Macaca fascicularis: one gene and its partners. The main gene of each other region encodes a partner of the protein of the gene in region 6 in a complex. Links are inferred from orthologs where the notes say so. Each region holds a gene or a part of one and is shown on either strand. Other genes may lie near its edges.

Evidence for each region.
Region 1: ACTR2 (region 6) and ARPC3 share a complex: the UniProt entries of both Homo sapiens proteins name them as parts of the arp2/3 complex. The link is inferred for Macaca fascicularis from reciprocal best matches to the Homo sapiens genes ACTR2 and ARPC3.
Region 2: ACTR2 (region 6) and ARPC5 share a complex: the UniProt entries of both Homo sapiens proteins name them as parts of the arp2/3 complex. The link is inferred for Macaca fascicularis from reciprocal best matches to the Homo sapiens genes ACTR2 and ARPC5.
Region 3: ACTR2 (region 6) and ARPC2 share a complex: the UniProt entries of both Homo sapiens proteins name them as parts of the arp2/3 complex. The link is inferred for Macaca fascicularis from reciprocal best matches to the Homo sapiens genes ACTR2 and ARPC2.
Region 4: the proteins of ACTR2 (region 6) and ARPC5L are in contact, whole or in part, in a cryo-EM structure (PDB 6YW6), measured with the Homo sapiens proteins. The link is inferred for Macaca fascicularis from reciprocal best matches to the Homo sapiens genes ACTR2 and ARPC5L. Residues at the interface, in NP_005713.1 of Homo sapiens: Tyr225, Glu263, Phe266, Gln267, Arg319, Lys322, Gln323, Ser338; in NP_112240.1 of Homo sapiens: Arg11, Arg12, Val13, Asp14, Ile15, Asp16, Glu20.
Region 5: ACTR2 (region 6) and ARPC1B share a complex: the UniProt entries of both Homo sapiens proteins name them as parts of the arp2/3 complex. The link is inferred for Macaca fascicularis from reciprocal best matches to the Homo sapiens genes ACTR2 and ARPC1B.

Annotation. Positions count from the first base shown.
Region 1 is NC_088385.1:117,318,444-117,321,943, reverse strand, and holds part of ARPC3 (actin-related protein 2/3 complex subunit 3), read left to right. Parts: intron 1-1,806; coding exon 1,807-1,906; intron 1,907-3,500. UniProt on the Homo sapiens protein: Component of the Arp2/3 complex, a multiprotein complex that mediates actin polymerization upon stimulation by nucleation-promoting factor (NPF).
Region 2 is NC_088375.1:41,176,232-41,179,722, forward strand, and holds part of ARPC5 (actin-related protein 2/3 complex subunit 5), read right to left. Parts: intron 1,254-3,491; coding exon 1,077-1,253; intron 1-1,076. UniProt on the Homo sapiens protein: Component of the Arp2/3 complex, a multiprotein complex that mediates actin polymerization upon stimulation by nucleation-promoting factor (NPF).
Region 3 is NC_088386.1:114,116,741-114,120,722, reverse strand, and holds the start of ARPC2 (actin-related protein 2/3 complex subunit 2), read right to left. Parts: upstream 2,801-3,982; 5' UTR 2,735-2,800; intron 2,516-2,734; 5' UTR 2,508-2,515; coding exon 2,434-2,507; intron 1-2,433. UniProt on the Homo sapiens protein: Actin-binding component of the Arp2/3 complex, a multiprotein complex that mediates actin polymerization upon stimulation by nucleation-promoting factor (NPF).
Region 4 is NC_088389.1:19,191,950-19,194,961, reverse strand, and holds part of ARPC5L (actin-related protein 2/3 complex subunit 5-like protein), read left to right. Parts: intron 1-1,475; coding exon 1,476-1,547; intron 1,548-2,769; coding exon 2,770-2,946; intron 2,947-3,012. UniProt on the Homo sapiens protein: May function as component of the Arp2/3 complex which is involved in regulation of actin polymerization and together with an activating nucleation-promoting factor (NPF) mediates the formation of branched actin networks.
Region 5 is NC_088377.1:47,963,509-47,967,743, forward strand, and holds the start of ARPC1B (actin-related protein 2/3 complex subunit 1B), read left to right. Parts: upstream 1-1,435; 5' UTR 1,436-1,487; intron 1,488-4,235. UniProt on the Homo sapiens protein: Component of the Arp2/3 complex, a multiprotein complex that mediates actin polymerization upon stimulation by nucleation-promoting factor (NPF).
Region 6 is NC_088387.1:56,630,649-56,634,148, reverse strand, and holds part of ACTR2 (actin-related protein 2), read left to right. Parts: intron 1-1,279; coding exon 1,280-1,412; intron 1,413-3,500. UniProt on the Homo sapiens protein: ATP-binding component of the Arp2/3 complex, a multiprotein complex that mediates actin polymerization upon stimulation by nucleation-promoting factor (NPF).

The DNA of each region.
Region 1 (3,500 bases), on a different chromosome or scaffold from region 6:
GAATGGGACCCATGTTGTCTTATAAAAAGCCAGGCATCTTGTAAAAAGCAGAACTAAGAATCAGCATACAGAATGCTCTCATAAATGTGATTTTTTTCTCCCTTCCTTTAACTCACACTTACCCACTGAAGGGAATATATATATTCTCATTTTACAAATTTGGAAACAAGCTAAGAGAAGAAGAATGATGCCTTGGTCAAAGCATAACGCCAGGAAGTGGCAGAGCTGAAAAGATAGTGCTTGGGTCTTGGTTTAGCTGGGGGCTGGGTACCCTGATTTATATGATGTTTGTCTTTCTGTGGTGGAAATACTTTGACCAGATACCAATGTGATGTCACCAAACATAGAATTGGAAGAGATGCACAGCAGCACCCCATTATTTAGTATTTCGTAATAATAACTTTAAGAACATGACAATAGGAAAATGTAATTTTTAAAAATTAGGTTATTGCCGGGCGCGGTGGCTCATGCCTGTAATCCCAGCACTTTGGGAGGCTGAGGTGGGCGGATCATGGGGTCAGGAGTTTGAGACCAGCCTGACCAACATGGTGAAACCCTGTCTCTACTAAAAATACAAAAATTAGCTGGGCGTGGTGGCTCGCACCTCTAATCCCAGCTACTCAAGAAGCTGGGCGGGAGAATCGCTTGAACCCAGGAGGCGGAGGTTTCAGTGAACAGAGATCGCGCCACTGCACTTCAGCCTGGGTGACAGGGCGAGACTCCGTCTCAAAAAAAAAAAAAAAAATTTAGGAAGTAGGCCAAGTGCAGTGCAGTGGCTCACGCCTGTAATCCCAACACTTTGGGAGGCCGAGGCGGGCGGATCACCTGAGGCCGGGAGTTCAACACCAGCCTGGCCAAAATGGAGAAACCCCTTCTCTACCAAAACTACAAAATTAGCTGGGCGTGGTGGCACATCCCTGTAATCACAGCTACTCAGGAGGCTGAGGCAGGAGAATCGCTTGAACCCGGGAGGCAGAGGTTGCAGTGGGCCAAGGTCACGTCATTGCACTCCAGCCTGGGCAACAAGAGCAAAACTCCGTCTCAAAAAAATAAAATGTAGGCAGTAGCTGGGTGAGGTGGCTCTTGCCTGTAGTCCCAGCCCTTTGGGAGGCCGAGGCAGGCATATCACTTGAGCTTAGGAGTTCGAGACCATCTTAGGCAACATGGTGAGACTCCTTCTCAAAAAAAAAAAAAAAAGAAGTAGTGATGAATATTTAAGCATCATTGGTTTTAACATCATTTACTTTTTTTTTTTTGAGACAGAGTCTCGCTCTGTTGCCCAGGCTGGAGTGCAGTGGGATGATCTTGGTTCACTGCAACCTTCGCCTCCTGGGTTCAAGTGATTCTCCAGCTTAGCGTCCCAAGTAGCTGGGACTACAGGCGCACACTGCCACGCCCGGCTAATTTTTTGTATTTTAGTAGAGATGGGGTTTCACTGTGTTGCCCAGGCTGGTCGCGAACTCCTGACCTCAGGCAATCCGCCTGCCTCAGCCTCCCAAAGTGCTGGGATTACAGGCGTGAGCCACTGCGCCGGCCAACATCATTTACTTAATTGTAAGTTTATATAATTTGATTTTTGAGAACAGCTGTGTTTAACAACCAGCTTGAAAAATGCCTCATAATTTAACAGTTGGTTTTCTTGAGCCAGAAAGAACCAGCTCTAGCACCTCAATGCTGCTATCCCTTCTCCCTCCCCTGATTAATCTTGGGTGGGTTACTCTTTTTTTCCTTTAAGGAAAGGTTGTTTGCCACAGTGACATTTGCTCTCTTTCTGCTTCTGTGTTCTTCCTGGGCTTGCCATTACAGGCTTACCACTCTTCTCTCATGGATCCTGACACCAAACTCATCGGAAACATGGCACTGTTACCTATTAGAAGTCAATTCAAAGGACCTGCACCCAGAGAGAGTAAGTCTAAACCCATTATTTTCAAATTTTGGCATGAAATGCCTAACAGTCTTCTAAAATGGTCAAATCAGGGAAATTCTTAGCTCAGTCTTCTCTCTCAAATTGTCCTTGTACTTTGGTAGATATTGTGGTCTAGACCTTTCAAGATAGTGGTTATATGTTGCATTTAATAGGAAATTGTATTATTTCTTCTGACTTCTCCAGGAAACTCTTTTGAGAAAATGGAGGAAATGTGCTTAATTCTGGACACTGTTTATCAGTTCTTTCAAACAAATCTAATGCTGTTATGTCTAGAATGCCACATGCCCATCCTTTCTGTTATCAACCTGGAAGAAAACAACAAATATTTTGACCTCTTCCCCGTCTAAATCTACTTCCTTTATTCATTCTTCAAGATCTTCATTTTTAGCAATACCTCAATCTTAAATCTGAAGTATACTATGTAACATTACTTATGTCTATTCCTGCTTTTCTGAGTTTTATTTCAGAAAGCTGCAATATTTTTCAGACACTGTCTGAGACTCTTCTGACGCTTTCTGAGATGTTCTTCCAACAGTATTATTTGTATTATATTAGACACGGTTTCCCTGTACCCTGCAAGGGTCTGAACTGAATTCCATTCATGGTTTCTAAGACCATTATTATAATTATCAATTTGGTACTGATCCAATTCCCATTTCTCTGCCAGACTGTTTGACTTGACCTTTTTTTAACTTAATTTTGTTTTCAACACCATTTGAAAGCTCAGTAAACTTTATAAATATGGTGAGTCACCACAGTCTCTACTTGATTCTGAGGAAAAGGAACAAGGAAGAAGACAACCTGAGAGAGAAGAAAAATAACATAAAAGAAAATCACAGGGCTGGGCGCAGTGGCTCACACTTGTAATCCCAGAACTTTGGGAGGCCAGGGCAAGTGGATCACTTAAGGTCAGGAGTTCGAGACCAGCCTGGCAAACATGGCAAAACCCCATCTCTACTAAAAATACAAAAATTAGCTAGGCATGGTGGTGGGCACCTGTGATCCCAGCTACTCAGGAGGCTGAGACAGGAGAATTGCTTGAACACAGTGGGTGGAGGTTGCAGTGAGCCAAGATTGCACCACTGCACTCCAGCCTGGGCGACAGAGTGAGACTCCATCTCAAAAAAAAAAAACAAAAATTACACTGCAAAGGCCAGGCGTGGTGGCTCACACCTCTAATCCCAGCACTTTGAGAGGTCGAAGTGGATGGATCACCTGAGTTCAGGAGTTCGAGACCAGCCTGAACAACGTGGAGAAACCCCGTCTCTACTAAAAATACAAAAAATTAGCCAGGTGTGGTGGCACATGCCTGTAATCCCAGCTACTTGGGAGATTGAGGCAGGAGAATCGCTTGAACCTAGGAGGTGGAGGTTGCAGTGAGCTGACCTGGGAGGTGGAGGTTGCAGTGAGCTGAGATCATGCCATTGCACTCCACCCTGGGCAACAAGAGCAAAACTCTTGTTTCAAAAGGAAAAAAAAAAAAAAAAAGAAAAACACCTGAATTGGAATGGAGGCCTGTGCTGTGAGCTAAATAACAGTATTAATCACACTAATTCATTTATATTCAACAAAT
Region 2 (3,491 bases), on a different chromosome or scaffold from region 6:
GGGAAAACTGTGAGGAATGGTTACCCTATCCATAAATGTTAGTTCTTTTTGATAGTGTATGAGGGATAAAGTGACTTGACCAAGGCTAAACAACAAGTTTACTATGTACTTTTCTCTTATGTGTGTGTTTTCATTCGGATACACTTCAAACACTTAATATTTTTATGGCTGGTTCTATTTACATGTTATCCAGTTTTTTACCCAAAGCTCAAAATCCCTTGTACTCTTTTGACAGATGATGTACCAGCATCTACTTACATTGCAAAATATATGCATGAAAATAGAAAAAAATGATTTAAGAATTCTTGATCCTCCAAACCCCTAATTCTTTAAAAAAAAGTTGTAAAATATCTAACACAAAATTTGCCATTTTAACCATCTTTAAGCGTAAAATCCATTGGCATTAATTACATTTACAATGTATTGTAGCCATCACCACTATCTGTTTCCATAATTTTACCACTCCAAGCAGGAACTCTGTACCCATTAAGCACTAACTCCCTATTCCTTACTTTTCCTACTTCCTGGTAACCTCTAAGGACTTTGTCCCTTTGTCTTTGCCTATCTTAGATTATTTTATATAAGTAAAATTATAAAATATTAGTTCTTTTGTATTTGGCTTATTTCACTTGGTATGTTTTCAAGGTTTACTCATGTTATAGTATGTGTCAGAATGTCATTCCTTTTTATGGTTGAATCATATTCCATTGTATGTATGTACTACAATTTACCTGTTCATCTGTTGATGATCCTTGTGTTGTTTTCACCCTTTGGTCACTGTGAAAGAATTCTTGATTTATACTGCTTATTTTCTTTTACAAAGTTTTGATTTAATTTAGAGTTCAAGATTATGTTTAATTACTAATAATCGTTGCTGAATAAACACAAGTGTTGGAATTAGAATCTCTTAAGACCAAGGCTAGTAAACATAAATATGAACTATCATTTTCATGCATTTTATTTGTAATAAAAAAATGTACAACCAAGTCAAAATGGTTATTCAGGTGAGAGAGGTCGTCACTGTCATCCCCTATTGTAAAAGAACCAGTTATGTAGATTTATAATTCATAATTTACCTTTTCATGCCATTGCAGTAACACAGCACTGCTATTGTCAGAGGGGCTCTCAAATCCTTTATAAATATACTTCATTAGGAGATCCACACCATTCTTGTCCAGAGATTGAACTGCCTTTTCAATATCATTAGCTTTAAAAGAGATGAGCACCTTCAAGACAATGCTGCCTGCCCGGTCCTGGTGAGTAAATAAATAACAGAACATTTAGACGTATCTGTATGAGGATGGTTTAGAATTTCAGAAAGGCCACACTAAGAAGGTGACATTTGAGTAAGGACCTGAAGGACGTGAAAGAGGAAGGCCTGGGATAACTGAGGAAAGTGTTTCAGACAGAGGAAAGAACACACTATTAGTGTGTGTTCAGTGTGTTCTAGGAATAGGAAAAAAACCCAATGTGGTTGGAGTGGACTGGTGGGAGAAAAGCAGGTGAGCAAGTCAGAGGTTATGGGAGGACAGATCGTGTAAGGCCTCCAGGCATTGTAAGGAGTTTGGCTTTTACTGAGAGAAATAAGAAGACATTGGAAGGTTTTAAGAGCAGTGCCATAATCTGACTCACATTTTAACAGGATCGCTTTGGCATCTACGTTACAGAGAATAAGCAGTGGGGGTAGGGGATAAGGCAGAAGCAGGGAGAGCAATTAGGAGGTAATTGCAGTAATACAGGCCGGATGTGGTGAGCACAGTAGCAGTGGAAGTGGTTAAAAACTAGACAGACTATTGACATAATTGAAGGCAGAGCCAAGAGGATTTGCTAACAGATCAATGTGATAATTTAACAATTTATTAAAACAACATTTAAATTTTATGTCTTGATCTTAAAAACAAAATTCCAACAAAACAGCCGGGTGTGGTGGCTCACAGCTGTAATCCCAGCACATCGAGAGGCCGAGATGGGCAGATCACCTGACGTCAGGAGTTCAAGACCAGCCTGGCCAAAATGGTAAAATCCTGTTTCTGCTAAAAATACAGAAATTATCCGGGCATAGTGGCAGGTGCCTGTGATCCCAGCTACTCGGGAGGCTGAGGCATGAGGATCGCTTAAATCCGGGAGGCGGAGAGTGCAGTGAGCAGAGATTGCGCCATTGCACTCCAACCTGGGCAACAGAGTGAGACTCCGTCTCAAAAAAAAAAAAAAAAAAAAGAAACCCCACAAAACAAGGAAGCAATTTGCATTTCTACCTTGAATTATTCTTCAGAAGTAATTTTTTCTTAAAAACTTTCTTTTAAAATTTTTAAACAAAGCTGTCTTAAAAGAAAATTGTAATTTATATGAATTGACTGTAGATACGAAATATAGTGATGTTCATTAATAATGATCTTTTTTCTTTAGCAAAAGCCTGCTTCAAAAGCAGTTATTTTCTTACCCATTCAAGCAAGCAAAGGGAACACTTAACTGACCTTTTCAACAATTCGTTTCTTCTTCCATTCAACACAAAGGGCTACCTCCAGCATTCCTACTGGTCAGGATTTCACACAATGCTTCTACTACCTATTGTTATCTTTGGTTTAAAGACTATGCAATCACCAGATTTAGAAAACATATCTTTGCATCCAGGGTAAAAATGAAATTTCAACGACATTCTTTACAACTTGTAAAAACCAAAGCAATTTTTCCCCGATAAAAAATTATGTTACCTAGATAATTATTACACATTTACCTAAGTTATTACCTACTACTACTCAATTGAGATTCTTGAAGCTCCTAGGATGTACGAATAGTTATGGACAATGAGGTTGATGCTATGGGCATCATTTTAAATAAATACTTAAATAGGTTAAGAACTACTAAAAGACTGCAGAGAATGTAAGTTGCACAACCATTCTGAAGGGCAATTTGGCAATACTACATGTACCAAAAGCCTTAAAAAAGTGCGTTCTTTGATCCAGTAATTCACTGCTAGCAATTTATTCAAAGAGAACAATTAAAAATTTACCAAAAAATATTCATTTCAGTGGTTCACAATAGGAAAAGTCAGTCTAAATATATAACAAAAGATTAGTTATGTATACACTGCAGCTTATCCATATACAACTGTTAAAAATGCTATAGAAATAAACTTATTACGAAGGAAATCTCTTGTACATTGCATACAGCCGAAAAAGCAGGTTATAAAATTTCATTCTTAAAAAACAAAAGGGAACTCTAACAATATAGCAAGGCCCCAAAGTAGTAACTGTTATCTCTGGGTAGTGGGACTATAAATGACTATCTTTTTAACCTTCCCATATGTCTGAGCTTTCTATAATAAATATTTAGTATTTGTACAGTTTTAAAAAATCTTTAAAAAGCAATTACAATCTGTTTATTTTTGTAAAGGTTTAACTTATTTTTCAAACCTTTGTTCAAATTCAGCCTGAGTGGTCTCCTCTAAAAACACACACAAATGATTTCACTATTTGAATTCACTGCGTCTT
Region 3 (3,982 bases), on a different chromosome or scaffold from region 6:
GAAGTTCTGGAATAGGCATGCACCTTGCTTTACCTTACTGGGATGCCTGGTAATTTCCGCTTGCTTCATTCGGGCTTCTGCTGGGTGATATATCTGTAATCCCAGGAGAGCCCTGCCTACTAGGCAGGATATTGTGGTCTTTTAAAAGACTTTCAAAGTTTCAAATTCTCAGCAGAATGTTCTGAGCTGCCTTATTGAAAACCAAATCTCAAAGAGGGAGATGGGCCAGAATGAAAGCCTAAATTTATACACACACACACCCGTACATGTGCACAAGCACACACAGCAGTGCACCCCCATACAAGTTCCCTACAATGCAAATCTTTGTAAAAAATGAGGACAGGCGCGGTGCTGTAATCCCAGCACTTCGGGAGGCCGAGGTGGGCAGGTCACCTGAGGCCAGGAGTTTGAAACCAGCCTGGCCAACATGGTGAAACTCCATCTCTACTAAAAATACAAAAATTAGCTGGGTGTGGTGGCGCGTGCTTATAATCCCAGCTACTTGGGAGGCTGAGACATAAGAATCACTTGAGCCTGGGAGGGCGAGGTTGCAGTGAGCAGAGATCGCGCCACTGCATTCCAGCCAGTGAGTCTGTCTCGGGGGGAAAAAAAAAATGTCCTGCAAGTCCTAACGTTTTTCTTCCAGACTTGAGGGCCTATTTAATCCCTCCGAAATGGTTAGCTGCTTCTTTTAAGAATAACTTTTTAAAAGAAGAAGAAAGAACTGAAGTTCCGAATAATGGGCCATATTTTGGAATCACAAGTCATTAATACACAAATAGACGAGAATGTACTCCTATGTTAAAAGACATGCCTCTTCTTGCAAATACACAGCCATTTATCTTGTAGATCAGTTTATAACCGCCCAGGTCTCATTCTTTGCTAGTCTGGACCTGAGAATGCATTAAGATCAGTTATGAAAATGCAGAAGTTAATTCAACTTCCTCCTATGTGCTACACTGCTCAGAAAAAAGTATACAGCAATCACCCAAAATAAGACTCTGGGCTGATTCATTTGAATATCTAAAATGCAAAGAAACTGGTAAGAGAGGCTAAGACAAGAAAGCAGCAAGTCAGCCTAAAATATAAGCAACTGCAGCCCCTGGCAGGAAACAGTACTGCTCACTACACATATTACTTCAAGGAAAGTAGTGCTTTGTTTTACAGATAAAATCTGTTGCCTTATAAAGGAGACAGGACATACTATATATTCAATTTAAATGGTAGTTAATACTTTTTAATGCCTCCAAGCCACAAGTACATTATGACCACTTAAAAATTCCCCTCTACCAATCTTTTCCCATCTGTGGATCTCCAAGTAGTTTCCTATTACTAGCTCCCAGTTCACCAGAAACAGTCTGCTCTTATTTCCTCAACTGTGAAACCCAGATGTGAAGCCCCATGCTTATAGATAGGGAAATGAGGCAAGGGGATTGGCCATAGGCCACCAAAAATTAGAACCCAAAACGCTTAGCTCATGTTTTAAATATATTAGAAAAGCAAAGCAGCTTTGGAGGAGGAGGTTGTCTTCTACTGATTCTTGTGTTTGGCAGAGAAGGCTGCCTTGGAAATACGACCTAAGCCCATCTTTTAAAAAGTCCAACTGTAAAGAGAGGTTATCTAAGAACTTTATAGATTCTGGAGGCTTTGAAGTGTGTAACTGGGCCAAGGCTACCACGGAAGAAATCACAGACCAAGGGTCTTGATGTAAGAATTTACAAGATAACCAGATAAAGGCTAGTGGGCGAGGAGAGAGCATTAGAACCTCAAAGGAGAGATAAGGAACGGGTGTGGAGCAAGGGACAATTAGCTTTGCTTGAAAACTATGTAACAAAATGGCCCAGTGTCTCTCACAGAAGGGTTCGGGAAAGGGAAACCAGAGATCGCGTTTTTCCGGCTCTAAGACTGGGTTGGCTTTCAGTCTTCTCTTCTGCTCCTTTTAGAGCAGACGGCAGCGGGGAACGAGAATGCTGGTGGCGACGTGGGCCTGCATCTCCTTTCCTCCTCCAGTCCTGGGAATTCCTGAAAACTCCTTCCAACCCAATTCCAAACAGGCTCTCTCTGGGTTCAGAACAATGCCAGGGAATTTCACGCAGGGAAGGGGTCCCCTTCTCGCCCTAGCGGGCAGGGGGCTCCTCCGGCGCGAGTTCCGGCCCCAGCGTCCCCACGTCCCACAGGTCTCCTGCCCTTTGGCACGCACAGCCCTCACCACTCGCTGCTTCCGCATCCCTCCTCTGAGCCTCTCCCCACGCATCTCTGCCCCTCGCCCGGCCGCGCCCAATCGCCTCCCACCTCTACCCCGCTGGGGCAGCCCCTACACCCTGCCAGGCACCCCATTTCTCTCCTCCAGGTCTGGGGGACTGGACGACACTGGGGATTAGCTGGGGTCAACTCTGCCTCCCCCGCCACCCCTGGCCCCGGGCGCGCGCTCACCCGGCGGCCGCGTTCTCGAACTTGAGCGCGAGCGTCTCCTCGATGATGCGGTTGTTCACCTCCAGCAGGATCATGGCGGCGGCTGCCCCGAGCAGGGGAAGGAGAAACAAGGGCCGGTGAGGGTGGGTAAGGTAGGGAAGGACGGAGGAAGCGGCCCTGCTGCCCCCTGAAGGGACCTGGGTGGGGTAGGAGGTTAGGGGAGAAGGGGAGAGGGGCCGGGATGGAGGGAAGGGTAAGACGCACGCGCTGGCCCACGCACGCAGACTGTGGAGACACCCACCCACCCAACCAACCAACCGACCTGGCCCCCAAAGCCTGAACCCGCCTGCCGAGCCGCCGCCGCCGCCGCCACTGCCGCTTCACCGACAAGTCCAGTCCCCGCCCAGCCCCCGGCTCTAGCCGGCCACTTCCGCTCTCACACCCACTTCCGCTCGCCGCCTGGACGCGCGGCCCCGCGGCGCCATTTCCGCTTCAACCCCTCGTGAACGCGAGCGCAGGCGCGCCGGAGGAAACGGAGACTGCGCTTGCGTATGTCTGATGCCGCCACCCCACCCTCTACTTTCTCACAGACCCCCTTACGTCTACAGCCTACCAGTGCGTCCCCCGCGGAGCTGTCATTCCCCGAGGCTTGCCTGACTGTCCAGGTTCTCACTCCCGCTTGTCCCAGAGATCCAACTCCGTTCTTCCGGTCTTGTCATTTCAGAGACCTCGCAAGAAGCTCGCCCTTGTAGTCTCCCAGCGGGCTTCTTTGCTCCCAGCTTGTTTGCTGGGCGTGCCTCTTTTTCTTTCCAGGTATAGCTGTCCAGCGACACCATCAGACATTCATTTCTCCAACAAACATTTTCATGGGCTCTTGCTCTATACTGGGGATGTAGTGGTAAATGAAATAGATGAGGCCCTGCCCTCGTGGAACTTATAGTCTGGTAGAGGAAACAGACAATAAAATTCTCAATTGTGTAAGGAGGTAGAGATGCATGGGGAGAGGATCAGAGTAGGGATGCGGAAGCAGCGAGTGGTCAGGAGTGTACGTACCAAAAGGCAGGAGACCTGTGGGACGTGGGAGTAGCTGGGGCCGGAACTTGCGCCGGAGGAACCCCCTTGCCCGCTGGGGCGAGAAGAGGACACTTTCCTTGCGTGAAATTCCCTGTATTGTTAAAAGGACAATTAAGGAAAGGAATGAGAGGTCACCTGGGTGAATAGGCAACTTAGATGGGCCTCCCTGTGTTTCTGTCATGCCTCCAATTCTACGTCCAGGTGTCCAGAACGCATTTTTTTCTGCTTTTGAAACCTTCCAGTACCTCTGGCAGAGATACACCCTCCTTGTTACCTGAGTGCGGAATCTTAACTCCTCTTTGTGCTACATCCGCACCATCTGCCTTAGTGCCTTGTTTTGTGTTTTCCCTCCTCCGGGGAGAATGTAATAAACTTAGCTGAGTCCCTTCCACATACAAGGAAATAATTTATTTTCTGTTACGTGTTTGGGGTGGGGATAAAAAAATGAACAAGAAACTAGCTCCTATCATTAAGGCACAGATAGTCCTTTGAAACA
Region 4 (3,012 bases), on a different chromosome or scaffold from region 6:
GAAGAGCAAGTGAGCCTATGTTTTCTGTTCAGCCTATGGGATCCTGCTTATTCCTTTGGGGCCACCACCTTAGAAAAGAGTTACAAGGTCCGGGCACGGTGCTCACACCTGTAATCCCAGCACTTTGTGAGGCCGAGGCTGGCGGATCACGAGGTCAGGAGATCGAGACCATTTTGCCTAACACAGTGAAACCCCGTCTCTACTAAAAATACAAAAAAAAAATTAGGTGTGGTGGTGGGTGCCTGTAGTCCCAGCTACTTGGGAGGCTGAAGTAGGAGAATGGCATGAACCCGGGAGGCAGAGCTTGCAGTGAGCCGAGATGGCACCACTGCACTCCAGCCTGGGCGACAGAGCGAGACTCCATCTCAAAAAAAAAAAAAAAAAAAAAGAGTTAAAAAGGTAGCGGTTATCAGTGGCTGATATCAGGCTGGCCTTGTTTGGATGGGGGAAAAGAAACTCCAGAGCTGAAAGACAGAGGGACTGGGCTGCCTCTTGAGTGTGGAAGGTGGATCAGAGCCAAGCAGGGAGCTGGGGAACCAGGGCTGGGAGTGGCTCGCCTGGTGGCGCAGACCCAGCTCACTCAAGATGGAGCTCACACTGGGGAAGCCAGGAGATTCAGCTCTGCTCCGAAGGCCCTTCCTGTCTGCACGTGGGTATCACTGCGTGAAGAGGAGTAGAGACCCGATTGGGCAGAAGCCATTCCTTGTTCTATTTTTGAAGCTTTTTGGCTGAAGCCAGTGTTTCACACGAGGAAATGAAAGTTGGCTGATGTAATTCAGTTTAAAATAGGTGTCACCTTTGGGGACCTAACCCAGATTGTAATTTTCTTTTGCATGCTGGGTATTCAGAACTCAGCAAAGAATGTGTTGTCAGGATTGCAACTGAAGTTGGGGGGGGGTAACAGTGGAGACTGGCTCATTGTTGACAAAAGCTTCTGTTAGATTGATAAACTCTTTCCAGGTAACAGTTGGGACCTCATTGATCCCAATAGGTCTTAGAAGTTCTAGCACATCTAAATTTCCTTAATAGTTTAATTGATGAAGAGCATTGATGAAGAACTGGGAGATCTCCCTTTGTACCTACATTTCCCCCTTTTTAGAGTGAGAAGATGAGAACGGCCTCCAGTTCACATGTACGGGTGCTGTGAGGATCCAGCAGGGGAGATCCAGTGCCCAGCACCAAGCAGGTGCAAGTGAGCGCAGTCCAGTTTTACAGCAAGTTACCCCTCAAGGGCAGTTGCTTTGATGGGGAAGGTAGAGAGGGAGGAAGAAGGAGGGTTTGCATGGTTGGCAGAGGTGCCCTGCACCCTCCCCGTGTGGGCGGTAAACAGTCTCTGCCCACCTGGAAGCCGTGGAAGGTGGGTGGTATGGATGAGATCCCATCTGACTGTTCCCTGAGCTGTTTCTGAAGTGAGCTTGTTAATGACAGCGTGGACATGCTTGAGCCTAGCCATCCTTAACTGGTGGTGATGCACAGGGGACATGCTTCGGGCATTCCATGCAGCCTTGCGGAACTCACCCGTCAACACCAAGAATCAAGCTGTGAAGGTAAAGGGGTGGCGCTGCGGCTCTGCTGGGTGCTGTTGGGACCAGGGCTGTGGGTGTCTGGCCAGTGGGAGTGTGAGCTCCTCGGGGCTCTGGGCAGCGTCCGTTTCATCCGCATCAGAGGGAGTGAGCTGGCACTGGGCAGTGCTTCCACGGGAGCCTCCTGGCACTCCCTAGGTGGTGAGGCTCCTCTGACATCAAAGCTGTCAGTGTTTATACGAGAAACTCCCCACGGAAGCCTTCACTCCCGCTCGCGGCCTCGTAGGCTGAGAAGTCAGCCTGGCCCTGGCTGATGAGGAAAATGCATGAATTCGCTCACCTGTGGTGCTTATGCTCCTACAGCCTGAATAGGCTTTGTCTGCCCAAGGATTTTAAGTACCTGTATGCTTTCCTACCTTCTAAAAACTAAATTGTGCTTACTGCATCACCAAGGCTAAAATTTGGTTCAGGGAAAGGGGTCTCCCTGCAGCCGGAATTCTAGCAGCTGTGACAGCATCTTGATGTCACCGATGGCTGCACCTTCACAGAGTTCTGGGAAACGGCCCCACCCTTCTGAGTGTGAATACAAGAGGGATGCTGGAGCCAAGTCAACTTGGTTTGATTTTTTTGATAGTCCACCACCATTGTGGAGTATAATAAGGCCTTATTGGTATCATCTAAAATAGTGATGGGCTGGGTGCCGTGGTTTATGCCTGTAATCCCAGCACTTTGGTAGATGGAAGGATCACTTGAGCTCAGGAGTTTGAGACCAGCCTGGGCAACATAGCGAGACTTTGTCAGTATTAAAAATTAAAAAAAATAATAATTAGCTGGGCATGGTGGTATGTGCCTGTAGCCCTAACTGAGGTGGGAGGATTGCTTGAGCCTGGGAGAGGCTGCAGTGAGCTGAGCTTGCACCACTGCACTCCAGCCTAGGCAACAGAGCGAGACCCTGCCCCTCTCTCCCTCTCTTTTTCCCTCGTTTTTATTTTTTCTCTCTCTCTCAGAGTTGATACTTGTCCTAGTAAACTACTTATTCCCCCCAAAATAAGTAGAATAACTTGTTGGCATAAATAAAAGATACTTTGAAATTTAAATACACAAAAGACCTTCTAGCTTGCTTATTTTAACCATCCTGGACGAATTAGAAACTGCGTGGTGTTTCTGGAAACCTGTGTCCTTGCTTTGGTGTGGGGCATGGCGGCCTGCACAGCTCTGGGCCTCACTTGCTCTTTTTCGTCTGCAGGAGCGAGCCCAGGGCGTGGTGCTGAAAGTGCTCACAAACTTCAAGAGCAGCGAGATTGAGCAGGCTGTGCAGTCACTGGACAGAAACGGTGTTGACTTGTTAATGAAGTACATTTATAAAGGCTTTGAGAAGCCCACAGAAAATAGCAGTGCAGTGTTACTCCAGTGGCACGAAAAGGTATGTGAACGCTGCCATGCACCCAAGTGAGCCACCTGGCTTGCCCCAGTGTTCAATCAGCAGGCC
Region 5 (4,235 bases), on a different chromosome or scaffold from region 6:
CTTGCAGCGGTTTTTTTTTTTTGAAACAGAGTCTCGGCCGGGCGCGGTGGCTCACGCCTGTAATCCCAGCACTTTGGGAGGCCGAGGCGGGCGGATCACAAGGTCAGGAGATCGAGACCACGGTGAAACCCCGTCTCTACTAAAAATACAAAAAATTAGCCGGGCGCGGTGGCGGGCGCCTGTAGTCCCAGCTACTCAGGAGGCTGAGGCGGGAGAATGGCGTAAACCCAGGAGGCGGAGCTTGCAGTGAGCCGAGATCGCGCCACTGCACTCCAGCCTGGGCGACACAGCGAGACTCCGTCTCAAAAAACAAAACAAAACAAACAAACAAAAAAAAAGAAACAGAGTCTCACTCTGTTGCCCAGGCTGGAGTGTGTTGGTGCGATCTCGGCTCACTGCAACCTCCGCCTCCTAGGTTCAAGCGATTCTTCTGCCTCAGCCTCCCGAGTAGCTGGGATTACAGGCATGCGCCACCACTCCTGGCTAATTTTTGTATTTTTTAGTAGAGACGGGGTTTCACTGTCTTAGCCAGGATGATCTCCATCTCCTGAGCTCATGATCCTCCCGCCTCGGCCTCCAAAAGTGCTGGGATTACAGGCGTGAGCCACCGCGACTAGCCGAGGGAAGGTTTTCATCGGTGGCTCTTCCATGTGTCTGGCCGCCTGGGCACGTATTCACTGAAGAGGCAGAGGGTCAGGATGGGGAGACTCCAGGGACCACCTGGCTCAAGACCCGCAATTAGGTGGCTGCAAGGCCAACCCGGTAACTTTAAGAAGTGAAGCCGATTGACGTGAAACAGAAAGGAAAGAAGTTAGCTGGCCGGCCAGCGTCAGCACAGGCAGCCAGTGTCACCCTGCCCGGGGACGGCACCCCGGTTTTGTGGCGACGACACCGAGGGCCGAGGGGGCGGGGCCGGGCTGCCCTGGCCATGCCCGACCGCCTGCGCCCCGCCCAAGGCCTGCACAGTTGGCGCCCCGCGGGTATCAGCGTGAAGGGGGCTCCTCGCCGGCTGGGGACGGGGCTGCGGGGCTCGCCAGCCGCTCACCTGCGTGGGAGCGCAGAGCCCGCAGTACCCGCCGTCCGGGCTCAGAGGACGCGACTCCCCGACCCTGCGCCCGGCAGCCCCCGGTGGCCGTGCGCCCGGCCCAGGCTCGGAGGTCTAGCCCAGCGGCAGCTTAGGCTGCGCGCCTGGCTCCCAGCCTCAGTTTCCCCATTGGTAAAGCGTTGACGGGAGGTTGCGGACGGCTTCTACGGACAGAGCCTTAGGCTCCGACGTCTGCGCCGGTCCTGGCAGCACCCCCACCCCGAAGGGAGGGCGGGACCTGGATCTCGCGACCGCTGCCCCAGGTCCCCGCCCCCGGGCCCTACGGGGCTGAGGTCGGGAGGCCCCGCCCCCCGCCCACGAGGAAGTGGCTGCGGCTCCGGCGCGGAGCCCAGAGCCGGTTCGGCGCGTCGACTGCCCAGAGTCCGCGGCCGGGGCGCGGGAGGTGAGGGCCGCGGGGGCGCCGGGAGGTGGGGGTCGGGGGAGCCATCCGGAGGTGGGGGGACGCGTGGATGTGGGGCGCCGCCTGGGAGTGAGCGGGACGGGAGGGATGAGAGGGGGTGCAAGGAGGGGGCCGGGGGGCGCCTGGAAGTGAGGAGGACGCATGGATGTGGGGCGCCGCCCAATAGGGGCACGGGGATGAGTGAGGGCGCACGGAGAGGAGGGGGCGCGGGGACGGGGGGCTCGCGGAAAGGAGAGGGAACCCTGGGATTGGAGGGGGCGCGGGGGTGGCTACAGGGCCAGGCCGTGGAAACGCGGGCTCCCCGCGCACCGGGCGCCCTCGGGGCGTCCCCAGCCCCCGGTCCCGAGCGTCCGCCTCGTGCCTTCCACCTCGTGCCTTCCGCCCCTGCTCCCGGGCCCGCATCCCCGGCCTTGCCCCGCGGTCGGTCGGTGTAGCCCCGTTACTTCGGGCCGGCGGAGCCCCACGCCCAGTCACTTCCCCTCCATCCCGGAGCCTTCCGGGTTGCAGCCGCCGGGAAATGAGTTGGCGTCCCCGGCCGCCCCGCCCCAGCCCTCCTGGCCGCTCCCGCTGCTCCCAACCGCCTCCCCTGGGCCAGGTCCGAGGGGTCCCGTATAGGGCGGGCCTGGCCGGTGGAGTCCCGGAACGCACCCCTCAGCTGCGGGGCTCCGCGGCCAGGGCAGATCCGGGCAGCCCCTCCCTTTCCGGAGGCGCAGGGAGAGCAGCCAGGCCGCCCAGGGCGGGGCGGGGCTGGGCCGGGCTGCACCCGCGGGCAGAGAAGAGATCAGGAGGGCAAGCCCTGGGGAGTCAGACCTCCCCCTGCCTCCTCTGCCAGTGCAGCCCGGAGGCTACCACCACCCATCCCGGCCGGGCGCGGCGGCTCACACACACAATCCCAGCATTTTGAGAGGCCCAAGCGGGAGGATCGCTTGAGGCCAGGAGTTGGAGGCCAGCATGGACAGCACTGCGAGACCCCTTCTCTATTAAAATAAATAAATAAAATGCAGTCGGGCGCTGTGGCTCATGCCTGTAATCCCAACACTTTGGGAGCCGAGGTGGACGGATCACTTGAGGTCAGGAGTTCGAGACCAGCCTGACCAACATGGTGAAACCCCGTCTCTACTAAAATTATAAAAATTACCCAGGCATGGTGGCGCTCACCTGTAATCCCAGCTACTCAGGAGGCTGAAGCAGGAGAATAGCTTGAACCCAGGAGACAGAGGTTGCCGTGAGCTGAGATCACGCCATTTGCACTCCAGCCTGGGCAACACAGCAAGACTCCAACTCAAAAAAAAAAAAAAAGTTAGCCAGGTATGGTGGTGCATACGTGTAATCCCAGCTACTCGGGAGGATGAGGCAGGAGAATCGCTTGAACTTGCTTTGGCAGTGAGCCAAGATTATATCACTGCACTCCAGCCTGGACAACAGAGGGAGACTCCATCTCTAAATAAATAAATAAATAAAATCTTAGGGATCTAAGTAGGAGTGCCAGCTTCTCCCTTCACTGGCCAGTGACTGGTAAGCTACCCAACCCCTGCCAGCCTCAACTTTCCTTATCTGGAAAATGGGAACCTTAAGGATTGTAAGGCTGCAATGCAATACTGCAGGACACTTGGCAGCGTGTCAGGTGCTGACAGTATAAACGTGTGCTTGTTGCTCACCTTGATCATAGTGTGCCCCCAGGTGAAACTAACTTCCTGGCCTCCAAGATGTGGGGTCAGAGTCCCAAGTTTCGTCATTTAGTAGGAGCCGAGTGACTTTGAGCAAATCATTGCCTTTGTCAGGCTGGGTTTCCTCTGGTACAAACTGAAGGTAAAAAGCAAACAGGCTGGGTGTGGGTGGCTCACGGTTGTAATTCCAGCATTTTGAGAGGCCGAAGCAGGCGGATTACCTGAGGTCAGGAGTTTGAGACCAGCCCGACCAACATGGTGAAACCCCGTCTCTACTAAAAATACAAAATTAGCCGGGCATGGTGGTGGGCAGGAGAATCGCTAGAACCCGGGAGGTGGAGGTTGTGGTGAGCTGAGATCACGGCATTGCACTTCAGTCTGGGGACAGAGTGAGACTCTGTCTCCAAAAAAAAAAAAAAAAAGCAAACAAAAAATGTCCAGGCTTGCTTCAGGGTGTAAAAGAGAGAATGGTGAAAGTTCTGGGTAAAATTGCCTTGCCAGATGCCAGTAAAGTTCGTTTCTTACATATGTCTGTACGTAATCCATTGATAGGTCTTTTTCTTTTTTTGGAGTCCGGTCTCACTGTGTTGCCCAGGCTGCAGTGCCATGGCTTGATCATAACTCACTTTAGTCTCAAACTCCTGGGCTCAAGGGATCCTCCTGAGTAGCTGGGATTACAGGCATGTGCCTCCATGCCCAGCTAATTTTTAAATATTTAGTAGAGATGGGGTTTTGCTGTGTTGTCCAGGCTGGCCTCAAACTCCTGGCCTTAAGTGATCCTCCTGCCTTGGCCTCCCAAAGTGCTGGGGTTACAGGCATGGACCTCCATGCCTGCCTTATAGGTGTTTTTTTTTTTTTTTTTGAGACGGCGGAGTTTCACTCTGTTGCCCAGGCTGGAGTGCAGTGGCATAATCTCAATTTACTGCAACCTCTGCCTCTCGAGTTCGAGTGATTCTCTTACCTCAGCCTCCCAAGCAGCTGGGATTACAGGTGCCTGCTACCATTCCCAGATAATTTTTGTATTTTTAGTAGAGACAGGGTTTTATCATGTTGGGCAGGCTGG
Region 6 (3,500 bases):
TTCACAGCAGAATTGTATTTAAAAGTATATGCTGGCCAGGCGTGGTGGCTCACGCCTGTAATCCTAGCACTTTGGGAGGCTGAGGCGGGCGAATCACGAGGTCAGGAGTTCGAGACCATCCTGGCCAACATGGTGAAACCCGTCTCTACTAAAAATACAAGAAATTAGCTCGGTGTAGTGGCAGGCATCTGTAATCCCAGCTACTCAGGAGGCTGAGGCAGGAGAATCGCTTGAACCCAGGAGGCGGAGGAGTGAGCCGAGATTACGCCACTGCTCTCCAACCCAGGCGACAAAGTGAGACTCTGTATATTTAAAAAAAAAAAAAAAAGTACATGCCTGTTGTTGCTGATTAGGGCTTCGACGTTCCCAAAGCGTGGAGTCAGATTCAGTACCTTCTCCACAGAGTTGGCATTGCAAAGTGGAATAACTCAAATTTTGTTTCGTGTGTTCTGCATGTTGAAAATGTACATGTAAATGCTTATGTGTACTTATCACGTGAATCTGTATTTCAACTGCTTAGTTTATGCGACATTCACCAGGCTTGCTTTGGCAATTAAATACAAAAACAATGCTTTGTTGGAGTTGCAGTAGCTTTAGCCATTGACAACCTGGAAGCCAGTTTGAATAAGGCCAAAATGGGTGCAAATCAGCTCCCAAACTTTGTATTATTCCTCAGACCCTCACTCAGATTCTGTTACTTTTACTACATATGCAGTCTTTTTAGGTTGGATTATCTGATATCATAGACAACAGCATATTTAAGGAAAAAAGAGGGTGCTGCTATAAGAAGCATACACATCAGTCTAGCCAAAAATAACAGCAGACAGCCTCTAAGCAAAGGAACAAAAAAGAGAAAACTACAAAAGATAAATAAAAAATTAAAAAGCAGGAATTCTGGATTAAAGTAGAATAGGGCTAATTATAGTAAATCACCACATTTCAATGGCTTTAGGGAAGCATGTGACAACATAGTCCAAGTACTAGAAGTTTGTAATATAAATCTTGGTCATTATTAGAAGTCTCAGTTACATTCACACAAAAAAAATGTATTATATACTTTTAGAAGTATTTTCATCAAAATTATAAAAAGGTTTTATGTGTAAAGAGGGGTCATTACTTCACAGTAGTAATAACAGCAAATATTCAGCCCTGTGATTTACATGTGGAATTTTATTTAATTCTCCCAGCAACCCCATGAGGCTGACATAAGTAACAGTAACCGTGAGATACCATTTTCCTAACCTAAAACTCCAAATGAATAACCATTGTGTCTTTCTAGATCTGAATTCTACAAACACATTGTGCTTTCTGGAGGGTCTACTATGTATCCTGGCCTGCCATCACGGTTGGAACGAGAACTTAAACAGCTTTACTTAGAACGAGTTTTGAAGGGTGATGTGGAAAAACTTTCTGTAAGTATTAGTAAATCAACTATTATTAACATTCTTTTAAAAGACTGTACAGTAGTTTGTGAATCTTGACAACCACCAGAGGGGGCAAGATGTCTTCCAAAACAAATTCCTACTGCAGTCAAGTGCAGTCTGGAAATGACAGGAAGAGGGAAATAGTTCAAGATAAGCTCTGGTCACCTCTATAGTCAATGGATGGAGGCAGTGAGGTCAGGGCCAAAAGTTCTGGTTCATCTGTAACAACCAGCACAGACTCCGAGGCGCCTCTATGTGCAAAAGAAGAACCTGCTGTACTATGGGGGAATAAATGCCCCACTTGAGGTTTTTTTTGTTTTTTTTTGTTTTTTTTTAAACTTATTTTGGATATGCAATCAGCCTTTAGCACTTCTCTTGGGCTGTCTCATATTTCTGACTTTGTTTGTTACATATGTTGTCTTCTCTCCTCCGTCAGATTGTAAAACATCATGTCTCATATTTTTTTGCATCCCGGTAACTGTCATAGCTCTTGAAACAGACTTTAATTGGTAGTTGTTGGTATGTACAGTAGAAAGAAATTTTTTAACTAGTAATAGTTGATGTTTCTTTGGCATGGGTTTGTGTGTTTTTTCCACCAAACTCTGGACTATGTGAAATATACAGTATGTGCTGTATACTCAACCAAGAGTTATCTAATCTTGAGTTAATCTCTGAGCTTTGTCTCACTGACTTTGATCAACTATTTTAGATAATGAGATTATGTATTATAGAGTACTGTATGTTACATCTTTCATATATGACTCAAATTGTTGAAATTAAATTGAGTATGGGCTCACATACATTAAACAGATTAACAGACTCGAAAGGAGCCGTGCTGTCTAGGTACTTCACTCATTTTTCTGATTTTATTGAGTTTTACATATAATTTATAATTGATCTCAGGTGATCATTTATTCAGCAAACATTTCTTGAACTCCTGGGTGCCAGACATAGGTCTAGGTGCTGGGGACAAACAAAACAATGAAAACAGAATCCCTACTTTTAGTCTAAATAATGTATTAGTGGTAATAAGTGATATGAAGAAAAGTAAGGTGAAGAGCTGGAAACTGTTAGTGGTTGGAGAGGTTGTGTGCTCCTTCATAAACTGTGATCAGGAAAGGCCTAAGGCCTTCTGGGTGAAGTGACTTTTGATCAGAGACCTAAGTTGAGCGTGAGAGGAGTGAGCCATGCAGCTATCTGGGGGAAGAATCTTATAGGCAGGAACAATGCAAAAGCCCCAGGTTGGTGGGAATGTGCCAGTGTGGCTGGAGCAGAGAGAGCAAGGGAGGAGGACACGTGGGATATGAGGTCAGAAGGGTAGCAGGAGGGCAGGTCTTGTTCAGCCATGGTAAAGGGTTTGGCTTGACTCCTGGTGAAATGGAAAGTCTTGGGTGCCGGGGCGGTTTAAGCAGAGAAATGATAGGATCTGATGTATATTTTTAAGGGCTCATTAAGTCTGGTGTGTTGAATAGACTCTTGGGGGAAGAGGGAACAAAGGTGGGCATAGACCAGTTAGGAGGCACTGAGAGGAGGGAAGGGATGGTAGAGTTTTAGACTAGAGGAGGAGGTTGCAATGGTTGTTTTGGAGAATGGAAGAGAATAGAGAAATGTAATAGGATTACCATGCAGCAGCAAGCTCAGTTGAGGTTAGTGATACATTGAAGCAAGATGTTTTGTATCTTTCTTATCTTGTTCAGCTGCTTGAGAGCAGGTGCATGAGTTCAGCAAGGAGGGAGTGGTAAATGGAGTAATCTGATAGAATGAGTTTCATTGGAGCTATGGAGTTTTAGGGATGAGCAAGATGAAGCAATGAAGAGCAAGAACTCATATTACCAAACCTCCAGGGTTAAGGTAGTGTGTGAGAGAGAAACAGTAAGCAGTTGAGATATTTACAGAAGCAGCGTCTTCAGGAGCTAGCTAAGTTTCCCTTAGAGCAGAGGTGGGCATTTATAGCCCTTATGCCAAAACTGTTTTGTTTTGTTTTGTTTTGTTTTAACTTTTATTGGAACACAGCCAAGCCCATTTGTTTACATAATGTTACCTGTTGTCATTTACTGTCTGTGGGCACCTTCTAGC